Linked DNA regions of Styela clava. The protein of the gene in region 1 interacts with the protein of each later gene in a pairwise test. Links are inferred from orthologs where the notes say so. Each region holds a gene or a part of one and is shown on either strand. Other genes may lie near its edges.

Region 1 (7,482 bases):
ACAAAGACACCAAGCACCAGATTTAACATATTTTTATCAGATTGACATTTAAATAATCAAAAAAGAAAGCAATACTTTCAACTTATTAAAGCATGCACCCTGATCCTAGTGGCTAACACATAAGATTTATTATTCACTATGTTGGTGTCACAGGTTTGAGATCTTTCTGCCCACCACTTACTTCACAAAACGCTTCCAAATTTTCTGGGCTATTTTGAAAAGGAAATTCTAACTGTTCCATGGCTCATTACATATCAATGGCTGCTTGCACAGAGCCTGGTCTGGAGAAAGATGTGATAAACCTCACTGACAAATAAAAAAATCAAATAGCATTTCACCAAAATATTACAGTTGACAACATAAATTTCAAAACATGCAGATATAAACATTTGTAAATCTGAGTTTGATGAAAAAAGATGCTGCTATAAATTTCGAGCATTCTCATACTTCTAGATTTGCGGCGATACTTGACGCAGATGCAAGGCTTGATAAAACTTGCAAGGTTTGTTTGGTTTCAAGCAATAATCTAGCTTCTTTAAGCCATCCCTCAGCAATTCTTCTTGATTCACCTTTAAGTTGGTTCATAAACCTTGCAGCTTGCTCCAAATCACCACGATCCAAACAATACGCCGCATAGGACAAAATTTTAAAAGTATCTAACTCTTTGGGATCCAAATTCTGTGGAGGCTCTGCTTGGGCACGATTTACGATTAAAAGTGACTTTAAATATGAAAGAAAATATGAAAAAAATGAATTTCTTGTTTCGTTGATCAGAGACAGACGTCTACACATTTTTGATACTTGCTTGAAAGCAAGACGTATCGCTTCTTCAGGGTAAACACCAGAGTCGCTAGCACGCTCGGGAAATGCTTTGATTACTTCTAATATCTGCGACTCTATACCATCAACTTGTGAAATAGCCTGTAATTCCTTTTCCAGAGGAACTGGTTTACCGTCATCACCATATTGCACAGCAATTCGAAGAGCTTCGCAAGCAAGCCATAACTCTTGTGCCTTCCGAGACTCATTCTCAATGTGTGCTCGACCGTCAATTGCAGTTTCAATACCCGCTACTTTTGAAAGTGCTTTGTTCAAATCAAACTGAAACTTATCCGTTATTTCATGCAATTCATCTTCATACTTTTCTTTTACCTTTTCCATTTGTGCTAAGAAATTTTCCTCCTGTTCTTCCAGTTTTTGTTTCATTTCCATATCCAGTTCTTTCCTGACTTGCTTTTCCTGTATTCCAAGCATGTCAGCAAGATGTTCAGAATGCGCTGCAGCTTGCCGTTTCAGTTGCACTCTCATTTCTCGTTCAAAAGTTTGTCTTGCTTCTTCAAGTTTTTTTTCATATTCGACTTCACTTTCCTGCTTTAGCAATTCCATTTTTCTTTCAGTTTCTATAACAGTCTGCTCGTCCCACTTTTCCCTTGCTGCTCGTACAGCCATCTCCATTCTGCTCACTGATATTGCACGCTCCTCTGCAAGTTCTCTTTGCAATTGATCAACTCTACGATGCGCATGGGCAATCAGGGCATTAAGATCGTCTTGAGAAAGCTTCTGGCTCAATTTTCGCCACCCAGACTCAACGTTAACATCAGGCATGACAGACATAAGCTCCTGACGAAATTGTTCTTTTGCTGTTTCGATCAAATCTTTGTATTGTGAAATAACATGTGACTCTGAAAGCTTAATATTGACTTCTCTACAAGCATTTTCTAATTCCTTGCGCATAGCATTACAGTTTTCTTCAGCACTAATTATTTTTTGATTTGCATCTGAATTATTGAACCGTTTAATTTCAGATATAATCGCACCCAATTTTGATAATTCCTGTCGAGCATCTTGGCTTAGGTTTTCTGCCTCCTGCTGGAGTCTCGATTTTTGCTCAAGAACTCTTGAAACATCCGTCCACTGGTTTTTCTTTTCCTCAGAACTGGTTTCCTTTTCATCCATAGCACTTTTAAGAAGAGATGTATGTAAAGCAATCGCTTTAGATGCTTCTAGGTTACTATCGATAGCCTCCAAGCAACGTTGTGCACAAGATGACAAAGCGTCATCCAGTATTGTCAATATTGCAGCAGTATCTGCAATAACATCTTCCTCCAGTTTTATGATATTATGTGAGACTTCTTCAGGTGTACGTTCTAAATGATTCCCATCTTTATCTGGTAAAGAATCACTTGGTGTTGTAACAGGCAACAACTGTGGTGCATTCTGTATTTCTTTTTCACCAATCTGTTCAGTTTCAACGTCCGTCACTAGCTCTTTTATTGGTTGTACCTCATCATTCGTTAAAGTCGGCATTTCTGGAACTGGTTCAGATACTGCTTGGGGAATATTCACTTCAGACTCTGACAAAATACCACCGGTTGCAGAACTTTCATCTTCAATTGGTTGTTTAGATAAAATTTCCTGTCTCTCATCATGAGAAGCAGTCACTTTTTCATCTTCCAACTTCGCTTCAGTCTTTTCTTTAATTTTTCTTGCCTCTTTCAAACTTGATTCAAAGACATCACCTACTTTTCTGTTGGACTGTTTAATTTTCGGGACAGCTTCTATCGATTTATTCAGCGGCCCCAAAATGGGATTAAATAAGTATTTTGCAGGTGGAAAATTCAATTCAGCACTTTCTCTGAACGACGGAAACTGCCAAGCAGCACCAACTGCAACTAAACCACCAGATAAAACTGTTGCGCCCGCAATAACAACGGGGCTGCTAGAGTTAGATGCGGTAGTTGATAACTTCCTTCTCCCGGTAATATTTTGATAAGTCCTCCGAGGCCATCCCAACCGATTTCTAATCCGCAACATGACGATTTACAAATAAATACACGCCGCTCACTGAGATTCGAAGTCCATCGGCGTCTGACACTTGTCTGCTTGTAAGAAACAAAACCAACAAACCTCGCGGAGTGAAGTCGCATGTGTGACCGCTGCGAGTGTCGCTGCTCAAATTTCGCATTTCGTGGAACCGTAAATGAAGACTTACCGTATACCAGAGCCATTATATAATGGCTTTGCTAATACGGTGGAACGATGACAGAATTAATGGGCATGAATCAAATCTTTTCGATGTTTAACCGTAAATATATACTACTACGGTTTAACCGTAAATAAATAATAATAACCTACGACAAACATAAGTTGACCGATGAAATACCTGGAATTCAATGAATATAAAATAAATTTGGAAGTTTTAAAAATCCTCTTGGTCAACTTCTTTACACGAATCGTAATACCAACGCATGCAAAATCAATATTCACGCTACCGCAGACACTGTAGTTCATATAAAATTTGGGCGCTCCCGAAGTATGTGCACCAAGATGGCGCACAACCTGAACCCTAACCTGTTACACACACTATGTTCAGGTTGTACGTCATCTTGATGCACATACTTCTGGAGGTCCGAAAATTTGTATAAAGTGTAAAGCTTATGCATGGCAATGTAGAAGTAGACGTATTTGATGTATTGCAGTAAAGGATGGTGTAACAAAAATAATTAAACTCTTGTTGTCTCCTCTCACTTGTTGAGGCATTAAATGTAGTGGCGAGTTTAAATTGCAAAAGAAGATAGATGCTCGGAATGTATTGAATTCCTACAAGCACATAGACAAAGAGAGATTTATTGATTCGTCAACCAAAAACAAACGTGAACAAAAGCAAAAATATACTAATAAAACAAACGAAATGTTTATTTTTGTATTGACAGCAGATTGAAAAAGACAGTAAACAACGCATCCGATTCCATTATCATTTTGCGGTTACTGTTCCCAATTTCTATGCATACATGGCGTGATCGACTGCGGCACACGTTGATCTAATGAACAGTGTGCAATAATAAAACTAAATTGGTTTATCAAATTTGCACTTTGGAAAAGCCAGTAAGCGCACGTCTTCAGTCCGAAATCATATGATCAACAAAACATATGTGCTTTCCTTTCCCGTGGAATATGAAAAGAACACTCTGTCTAAAATCTAAGTTGATATTACGTACCGTGTTTCCCCGAAAATAGGACTGGGTCTTATTTCAAGTTTCTTCCAAAAAAATACCACTAGGGCTTATTTTCGGGGGATGTCTTATATTTTCATTTATCAAAAACAAAATTACAAAGTATAGAACTACGAGATTTTTAAATGTACAAAATATGAAAACTAATATCTATTTACTTTTGAATAACACGTTTTCAGTCAAAATAACTGTAAAACATAGACTATCAATCATTTAAAACGTGTAGGAGGGATTTCTTGCTATCGACTGGGTAAAAATAAATTTGCGTTGTTGACTAGGTCTTTTAACGGGAGGGCTCATATTAAAATCATTTTTAAAATTCAGGCTAGATCTTATTTTCAGGGTAGGTATTATTATCGGGAAAACACGGTAGCACGCTTATGTAATGATAATTAACCCAACATAGTCTCTAATATATAGCTTATAATTTATTTAAATCAAAGGCCATAGTCATTGGTTTTAAACATTAATTTGTGTTCCAATTATACGAATATTGTAAACGTGCCAAACTTTAGTAAGCTTCTTAAATTTCACATGCAGCCTGCCTGATTTTTTCCTTTTATTTTGAATTACAACTACAATGAATTACAAACGGTAACTCTCAAAAAAGTAGTAAATTTAACCACAAAATACCATACATGTTAGTTTGCTACAAGTATTTATTTTTGTTTAATTTATTAAAATTTTACAATTGAACTATGAAATGTGTTCAAAACAATAGGCAATATCCAGACTGGTAATGCCCATCCACTTTCTCTAAATACACTTAAGTTGACGTAGCATGAAGCAGGCTGAAATCGAAATTTTCAGTGTCTAAAAATTATATTTTTCGCTGGAAGGCTATCACTTTCATTTATCGTTTTTTTGCGTGCTATGACGCCATCACAATTTGCCACTATGCTACGTGTCCATATATTTGAGCATAGCTCTCTTGTACTATATAAAAAACGTTACCAACAAAATAAGCCCATTGAGTGCATAATTGTAAGAGCAATGGCTGTATATATTACCATTAAAGTCTTTTGCTGAAATTGTATTGATGGATAGTATAGCTAGGCTTACCATAAATCTGAAACAAAAAACCGGGACGGTGCGATTTGGCAAACATTCGGTTGATTGCCAGTCTTTGTAATATTGAATTAGAAAAAACACAAAAAAATAGTTTGTATTATTTATTTAGACCAAAAGTATTTGTTCGCAGATGGAACCCTTCTCAAAAATTCTTGTTTTGATTTTGTCATAAAACTGATAACAAGAGACATCACCATTAAATTTGCAGGTTACGAGTGCTTTTATATTTTCTTCTGGCATTCTGAACCTGCTTCCAGGCCAGAAAATTTTAACAATGAAGAAAATCTGTTCAACAGATGCCGATGTTCCGGCAAACAAAATCAATGAGTTTCTGCAAATTCGAAATGCTAATATTTCTGTTAGAAAAAACGTTAAACATCTCTGTCCACTTAAATTCAACCGCAAAGTGAGCCAAATTGCATTTGAACCATGCTCAGATAAATATCTCTTTATCAGTATTCGTCGAAAAGTGCATCTCTATTCAAAACCTGACTAGCTAACCGAACATATCATTTATCCATTTTGCAAACCAAACACTTTAGTCCAGTTTAAATCACCCTTCGAATTTGTCCATATGTGGGGCCCGGGGAGCATTGTAGGCTTCATCATGCTGCTTTGTATACCGCAAACATTCTTTTTAAATACAGTTACGTCGATTTCGCCAGAGCGTTCCAAGGATTCCAGAAGTACAAGTTATTGCGACGGAATTAAAAGACTTCACCCTTTTTCCTTCAAATTTAGCTTCACCTCTGACATCTACGGCAGGGGTCGGCAACCTTTTGTCGCTCGCGGGACAAAATTAAGGGTTGCGAGTCATTGTCGGGCCGTACATATTTTTAGAAAGCTGGAACCGAATGGATGATACTTTTTATAATAAAAATCAAGCAGTAATACATCCTCATTGCATCGCAAAAAATTGCATTTGAATATTTTCAGCGCCATTGAACCCTTTGAACTTCGCATCATTTTTCTGCGTTTTGTTGCCATTTGTCTAATTATAATTAAATTATAGGCTCATTAAACGAGTAGTTGTGAATTATATACTTGTTAGGTTATAATATAATTTAGTTTAAAAAATATAATCGTCAAAACGGCTGTTTTGTTACTATAATTTAGTGAAGCGTCACGAGCCGGATTATAATATTCTGCGGGCCGAATCCGGCCCTGGAACCGTAAGTTGCCGACCCCTGATCTACGGCATTAGTATTATCTTTTTTCAAAATTAAAATAATTTTGTTGAAGTAGGTGAGCTGGCAAAGGATGAATTTCAAGTGAAGTTCGTACGCTGGAACATTTAAGCATAAGAGTAGGACATCCTTCTTGAGAATTTGAATAACTTATCAAGCTTTCAAACAGTTCCGTAATCCTTTGCAAAGCAGGTAATAAAGGGAAAACCGAGTGTTGCCATGCTGTAATAGCCGTTGATACTCACTATCAACAAAATCGCAGAATGATTTTTTCTCTGTTACTCGGACCAATGACATGAAACAACATGATAGGCGACTCTGACGTCACTCCATGAGACTACAGGCGAAAGATTGTATTTCCTGATACGCTCCAATGCACATACTTTTTGCTTTTTGCTGATGACTCAACGCCATATCTTCGAGGCAAAAACTTGCCTGAACTTTTGACCAAGGCAAATACCGACTTAGAAAATATTCAAGCTTGGTTGTCTGCGAACAAACTCACTATTAATGTCGATAAAACTAAATATATGATATTTAGCACCCCGAAGCAAAAGTGTCCAACTCTGCAACAAAATTTGGAATTAAATGGAATAAATATAGAAAGAGTTAATCAGACTCGCTTTCTGGGTGTAATGATCGATGATAAATTGTCTTGGAAACAACACACCAATATGGTTCTATCGAAAACAAGGTCGTCTCTTAGTGCCATTACGAAAATAGCCAACTACTTAAATACATCTTGTTTAATATCTCTATACCACTCTCTGATAGAAAGCCATATTCGTTATTGTGCCTCAGCTTATGTTCATCGCCAATCGTCCATTCTCAAAAAAATTCAAAGTGTTTGCAATCGCTTTATTAGAAGAGTTTTTCATAGAGGTAATCGCGAAAAAATTGATGACTTATTTAAAGAGCATAGGCTACTACGAGTTGTGGATTTAGCTAAATTCGAACTATGTAATATGATGTTCTCTTGTCACATTGGAGAGCTTCCGACCAGCCTGAACAGCCTGTTCCAAGCAAACCCAAATTCAAACAGCAGAAATAAAGATAATTTTTTTATTCCATTTGTCAGTAAAAGTATTTCACAAGAATCAATCGCAGTATGTGGACCAAAAGCTTGGAATTCCCTACCCGATGACATCAAAAATTCAAAATCGAACTCAGAATTTCGTTCCAAACTTAAACAATATATATTATCATCATAT
Region 2 (7,518 bases), on another chromosome or scaffold:
GAAAGTTCCATGAAAACCATAAATGTAATAACAGCCTTTCCTCCTCATTTTGAAATTTTCGAAAACGTCGGTCGAATTTTGCAGGCTAATTGTGTTATCATCGCCGATCGTTTTCTTCCGCATCGCGTTATTATTTGGGGAATTAACATCGGCATTATGCCAGTTTTAATTTGAAAAGAAGTTACATCCCGTGAAAAGTTACCCTTGTTGTAAATTCAGTAAATACGATTATTACGAAATTTTGGCGATTCAACAGCGCCTAAAATAGAGTCTTGTTTTATCTATCACTGGCTCATAAATCAAGAGTCGTGGTATTTTCGTTAGCATTCAATTCCTTATTGTCAGTCAAAAATGTGTGTTTCAGATCTACTCTCTTAACGATAGATAGATACGACGATAGATAACATACTGCGGCCATTTCAGTTCCGGGCGAAATAAAACAATTATCGGCGTTATATACCGACGAAACTGAACCCGACTTTTCTCCCGAAAATGTTGATATATAACTATAAGCTAATTAATATCTGCATTTATTGTACTAAATAAATTATACTCATTGGAATTGCAATAATAGCTCAAATTTGATGAATTTTCAAGATAGCAAAAATAGAAAATTGGATTTGTTCGTGCAGCTTACCATTTGTTTTCATATCTAGAGTAGAAATGCTTTTATTTTAAGGTAAGTCGGGCTCTTCTATACCGCAAATACGCAATAATCACATTTTTCTGCGTGTTTTGTGATGTAATACTATAGTCAAGTTCACTCCAGCATTACACGGATGACTGAAATATGCAGAGTGGTGTGGATATAAGTGAATATTATATGCTCTGAGAGATGTCATTGGCCACTCAACAAAAAATATAAAAATCACTAATGCGCATATGCATTATTTATACTGCTCTATTATCCGGTTAACCGTTACAATAATATCCGGTTATCAGATAGCAAAATACCTCTTGGTTAATCGGTTATCCGGTTAACCGCTATCCGGATAATCCAACCCTAAACCGAATCACCGCATTTGATTCCAAGAATGTTGATGCTGCTGCCATTTATGCATCATATTTCATTACAGACCAATACTCTCAAATATATATTCTATTGCAAGGGTGTGGTTCAGAGTATTTTTTGAGGAGGGGGGGGGGGGGGGCGCCAATAGAGTGCACATGTCAGGTTGGGTATCATAATATATGTGAGATTCTGCATCAAAATTAAAAACTGCAAATATACAAAAAGCAATTTGGTTATCTGATTTGTGCAGCATTATTGTTGAATTTAACTTAGTTTCAACAAGACTTTTCGATTCCACATGCACTTCTAATATATAAGTGGCGTCCAAATAAAATTGACAACTAACTATACAAAGTTATTTGAATCTGTATTGGCTATCTGAAGTATAGGAAATTTCATGACATGGATCAGTGATGTATATTGATATACAGGGTGTCCATAAAATCCCTTTACAATTTCAATTTTGTTATGGAGTTTCATGTTTGTTGTTTTTTAATCAGTAATTGTTTTTTAATCAGTATTTTCACTTCATTTAATACATCTGCGAGGGCCAAAACAATATATGATGTCGATAAATTACCTTTGCAATTTTAATAAATTTCAAGACTTTCTAAATATTTGTAGGTGCTAAAATGAAGAATACATTTTCTCAATCAATGAAATTAGAGAGCACAACATCTCAGAATAAAATAAGCTTTGTAACAGTTTGGAGAAACCATGGTGAATAAACAAAGAATATGCCTGATAAACAGAAATTTGATATCAAAATGAAAAACATTCACACACTGCAAAGATAGAAGAAGTAATTTTTTCCTGCCACGATTTCATGAGCAGCATTATTTTTAAATATACATTGAACCAGATTAAAAAAATGAGACTTTCAGACCCAATTTCTACCAGACAAAGTCCTATTTTATTTTCAATATGTCCCAGTCTTTTCGTACTTTTCATTCTATGGACATATTTTCATTTGAAAATAATAACAGTTAAAATAGGTTTCGAAACATTTATTTTTGAGTAGCATTATTTTTAAATATATATTATTTTTAGATATAAATTGGGCCAAATTAAGGCTTTTGAACCTAATCCAAACCAGGTTGACTCACACAATTTCAATCTTTAGCGAGAAACATGGTTTTCATTTAACATGCATTTTTTGTTGAATATAATATCTATCAGTTATTGAAATAGTATGGCTTTTGGAAACCATATTTTTTGAGAAGCATCATGCTCATATTAAAATTGAGGCTTTCAGCCCTAATTCCAAGCAGACCATGTCCCATTTTATTTATGAAATGGCCTGGAGTTTTCTGTTTTTCATTTTGCATGCATTTTTTTGTTGAAGATAATATAAATCAGTTATTGAAATGGAAGTTTCATTTCCTTCGTTGAGAAACCATTTCACGAAGGTTTTCTTCACTTTCTTTGACAGTTTTTTCTAAATATTTTTTCTTCGCTTCGAGTTCTTTAACTTTCGTGTCTGAATTTTCTTGTGAAGCTTTTAAATTTTGGTCGATTTCGTCTCGTGTTCGAAGCAAAAACATTCGCCCTACGCTTTGAAATAATCTTGTTTCTGATGGCAGACCACTAATTTCGCTTGCAGTAAGCTCAGAACGTTTCTTTTCGCGTCCTAATTGCATGATTTGTGCATCCGCTATTTTCATTTGTGACTGCGTTTCGACCATTTTACGCTGTAGGTCCGCGAAAGCTTGTTTCAGTTCCATATCCATGATTATATACTGGGTAATACGTTAGATACAGACAACTATAAACAAAAAGATGGAAAGTTATATTTCTTTATAAGATGGCACAATCATATGGTGTGTCACCGCCTCTTGTCTACGTCATATGTGGAATTAGGAAAGGATTTACATATTTATCCTGGAGAGGAAAACCAATAATACGACTCAATCATATGGCGAACCTCGGCCTCTCGTCTGGTTACCAGTCCACGTCGGGTATTGGATTAGTTAGCCAGTTATTTGTTTCAGATGCATGGATTTGCTGACGAAGGAAGCCGTAATCGACCGGCAATTACGTGAAGCTTGGGATTATGATTTTTTGCATCACGTTGTACAATGGATACATTTGAATAGCATTGATCATTTAGGTCTAATGAAAGGGTCTCCTGAAGTACGCGCCCTCAAGTACTTGTAGTGGATGTAGCATAATGATTTTATAAATATAATATTCCTAACCCCCACCTGAGTACGTCACCCAAAAATTACATCACTGCGACGTCACAATCGCATAGAGCTTGCTAAAGTATAGCTGTGATTGTTCAAATTGGCGACTATAATGAACACACCTATGTCAGCGATCTTATCTGTGTATCGTTTCGGCGAGAAAAATAGCTTGCTCGATTTCAGATGATTGTCTGCGTGACCATCCGTATACTTTGGAGGGCCGTATTGCGTCACTGTGACTTCGCAGTGATGTAATTTTCGGATGACGTAGTCAATTCTGCAGGTGGGGGTTGGAAATGACATATGAAACAATCGTTGTGCCAGGCCAACTAGAGAGGCGCAGTTCTTACCACTTCATGGCAGCTCCTGCCACGAACGAACCGCGGCAGCTCTTGCCATGGTTTTATAGCGCTATTCTGTATTCAGTAATCAGTATTAACGGTATATTCACAAACTAATGTACCAAATTCTAATTGATCATGCGGAATTATATCTTCTTAAACCCTAACCCTAACCCCAAATGCATCAAGACTGTATCCATAAGAAAAACGTTCCAACTTACCCAATATTTGTCACCATAAGGGACAGCCCTGTCCTTACGGCCCACCTGCCGCGGTTACAGCAGCAAAATTTTACCTGCCATTGGTTTTTAATTTGCTGCCGCGGTAGCGGCAGCTCGACATTGGTTTGTGGCAGCTAAAAAGTCATTCGCCGTAGGTTTGGCTGTAGCGGCCATGGTATGGAAATACCGCCATGGTTTTGCGGCAGCTGCAGACGCCATAGAATACTTAAAACTGCACTTGCAACTAGAAGTACTTGCGGCGTGTACTTCAGGAGACCCTAATAAAACGCAAGTTTTGTATTTATTTTTCAACACACAATTAACTTACCGTATATGCTCGTTTTACCGCCCGATCTTAATCAAGGGCCCGTTTGAATAGACGCCCGTGTGAACAGAACATAAAAATAAATAAGGGCCGGTGCTTGAATACCCGCCCGATGTAAAAGCTGATTTTTCAGTGGTAGAGAACAATACAGCAATAGGAAATAAGAAGCGCTTTTGTCACAACGCTGTCGAATTCTAAGCGCTGGTAGATAACACTCACGCCTTACTTTCAGGCGTCCATTTACATAACAGATAGCATTGATTACTTAACACCGTGGTTCTCAAACTGGGCGTCGCGACGCCCAAGTGCGTCGTTTTAATATTGATAGGGCGTCGCAATTTTACTTTAAAAATAACAAGCGTCTATGATTGAATAAGGGCCCGGTCAGTGTGTTTGGTTAAACAAATATGGGCCCGGGCTACAAAACGAGCAAATACGGTACCGGTACTTATTTTTAATGACGGAGAAAAAATATAATTATACACAGTCTGTGTAAAAACACAAATCCAAAACAAATGAGACACAAATTCAGAATCTTTTTACATAACAATAATAAATAATTAAGACAACTTTCCTCTCCGCGGGGATAAAAATACAAATTCTAACCCATAAATTTCAAACAAAATCACCTGAAACTGAAACATCTGAATACCTCCCCTGGTAACGGTTTGACATAAATAATTTGCAATATGGAGCACACGGGAATATTAAGTGTTCACAATTGAATTAAAAAAATTATTTTGAAAGATAATATTTTATTTAAATTGATGATTGTAAATATGCCTTTTCAATAAATCAGAATATTTATATTCCACAAAAATATTAAATATTATAAATTGAACAATACATACAATTTAAATTCAGAAACGCACGAAACAACAGGAGTTAATCTTTATTGAAGTGAACATAACAATTTTGCGTGAATTTATAATTTTTCTGTAAAGTTCGATGGCCGATTTTAAAACCCCGCGACACCACTGTGAAGCTAGCAGCACTTTCAGCCAGAATATTTTTACACATTGAATATAGGTTCCACGCGAATATAATGTTCACTTATATGTAAATATGAAAAATGAAAATGCTGATCAAAATATAATATTGGCACGAAAATAGATGAAAAATCTTTAAACTAAAATAATACATTAAATTTAATAAGAAAATAGTGTTTAAAAAAAGACTAACTAAGCGAAAAATGAATTTTCAGGCATTCCGCAAATACAAAGTTTCGGAAAATTATCCTTTTTGGAACCTCGATTCCTCGAAAACCGCCAATAAAGGCAGCACCACGACACATTTGGAGAAAAGCAGATACCCTATAAATTCGATTTTTTTATAACAGAACAGTAGCAGCACGTTTTGGCTTGACCATATATATTACCAAACATATCGTGTAATCTAAATTTTAATAACGGCATGGACGTAACAAACTTAAAATTGATTTTGTATTTCAACTAAAATTGCTAGACAATGGATCAAATATAATTTTCTCTTTGTCACACATTAATACTGTACATCTTTTAAACTTGGAATACGTTGCGGGAAGTATAAAACAGCAAAAAAACATTTGCGACTCCTAGTGGATTCTGTCCTGGATTACAAAAAATTATCGTTTTTAAAATGGCGATTTCTCGAAAACCGCCAATAAAGGCAGCACTACGACATATTCGGATAAAAGCACATACATTATAGATTCGATTTTATTATGCCAGAACAGTAGCAGCACGTTTTGACTTGGCCATATATAATACCAAACATAGCGTATATTCCTCGATTTTTAAAACAACGGTACGTAACATATTAAAAAAGGGTTTGTATTTCAACTAAAGTTGCAGAATAATTGATCAAATATCTTTTTCTCTTTGTCGCACATCAATACTGTACGCTAATAAACTTAGAATAAGTTTCAGAAAGTATAAAGTAATAATAAAAAAAATTTCGCGCCCCGCTTGAATTAGTTTGAGAATTTCGAAAATTATCGTTTTTGGATTGGTGATTTCTCAAAAACCGCCAATAAAGGCAGCATCACGATACATTCAGAGAAAAGCACATACCTTATAGATTCAATTTTATTATGTCAGAACGGTAGCATCAGGTTTTAACTTTTTCATATATAATACCAAACATAGCGTATACTCTTCAATTTTATGAACAATGTGGACGAAACAAATTTAAAAAGGAATTGTATGTCAACTAAATTTGCTGAACAATTGATAAAATATATATTTTTCTCTTCGTCACACATTAATACTGTACGTATATTAAACTTAGAATAAGTTTCAGAAAGTATGAAGTAATAATAAAAAAAAATGTTGCGCACCCACTTGAATTAGTTTGAGAATTTCGAAAATTATCGTTTTTGGATTGGTGATTTCTCAAAAACCGCCAATAAAGGCAGCATCACGACACATTCAGAGAAAAGCACATACCTTATGGATTCAATTTTATTATGTCAGAACGGTAGCATCACGTTTTGACTTTGCCATATATAATACCAATCATAGCGTATACTCTTCAATTTTATGAACAATGTGGACGAAACAAATTTAAAAAGGAATTGTATGTCAACTAAATTTGCTGAACAATCGATAAAATATATATTTTTCTCTTCGTCACACATTAATACTGTACGTCTATTAAACTTAGAATGAGTTGCAGAAGAAAAGTATAAAATACCAAAAAAACATTTTACGCCCTCTCGTGGATTCTTTTCAAAATTTCGAAAAATTATTGATTTTGGAAGGGCGATTTCTCGAAAACCGCCAATGAAGGCAGCACTACGACACATTCGGAGAAACGTAGATACCCTATAGATTTGATTTCACTATAACAAAACAGTGACAGCATGTTTTGACTTGGCTATATATAATACCAAAATAGCGTGTATTCTCAATTTTTTAAACAATGTAGACGTAACAAATTTAAGATGGATTTGTATTTCAACTGAAGCTGCTGGAAAATTGATCAAATATATTTTACTCTTTGTCACAAATGAATACTGTACGTTTATTAAACTAAGAATTAATTGGGAAAGTTTAAAATATAAAAAAAAACATTTTACGCTTTCTTTAATGGGTTCTTTTCAGAATTCCGAAAAATAATCGTTTTTGAAAGGGCGATTTCTCGAAAACCGCCAATAAAGGCAGCACTACGACACATTCGGAAAAAAGCAAATACCTTTTAGATTCGACTTCACTATACCATAACAGTAGCAGCACGTTTTGACTTGGCCATTTATAATACCAAACATAGCGTATATCTCAATTATTTGAATAGCGTAGATGTTCACATATTTTAAAAAGGTTTGGTATTTCAAATAAACTCACCTAATATCGTAATATTCCGTTTTCTTACTTTTCCAAACACCGATACTGTGTGTTAATTAAACTTGGAATAAGATGCAAATTGTATAAAACAATGAAAAATGTCTTACAAC

Evidence for each region.
Region 2: the proteins of MICOS complex subunit Mic60-like (region 1) and prefoldin subunit 1-like interact in a two-hybrid assay, tested with the Homo sapiens proteins (2 studies listed by BioGRID and IntAct). The link is inferred for Styela clava from reciprocal best matches to the Homo sapiens genes IMMT and PFDN1.

Annotation. Positions count from the first base shown.
Region 1 is NC_135250.1:12,331,158-12,338,639, forward strand, and holds MICOS complex subunit Mic60-like, read right to left. Parts: upstream 3,017-7,482; 5' UTR 2,815-3,016; coding exon 442-2,814; 3' UTR 17-441; downstream 1-16. UniProt on the Homo sapiens protein: Component of the MICOS complex, a large protein complex of the mitochondrial inner membrane that plays crucial roles in the maintenance of crista junctions, inner membrane architecture, and formation of contact sites to the outer membrane.
Region 2 is NC_135255.1:20,572,647-20,580,164, reverse strand, and holds prefoldin subunit 1-like, read right to left. Parts: upstream 2,782-7,518; 5' UTR 2,743-2,781; coding exon 2,389-2,742; 3' UTR 515-2,388; downstream 1-514. UniProt on the Homo sapiens protein: Binds specifically to cytosolic chaperonin (c-CPN) and transfers target proteins to it. Binds to nascent polypeptide chain and promotes folding in an environment in which there are many competing pathways for nonnative proteins.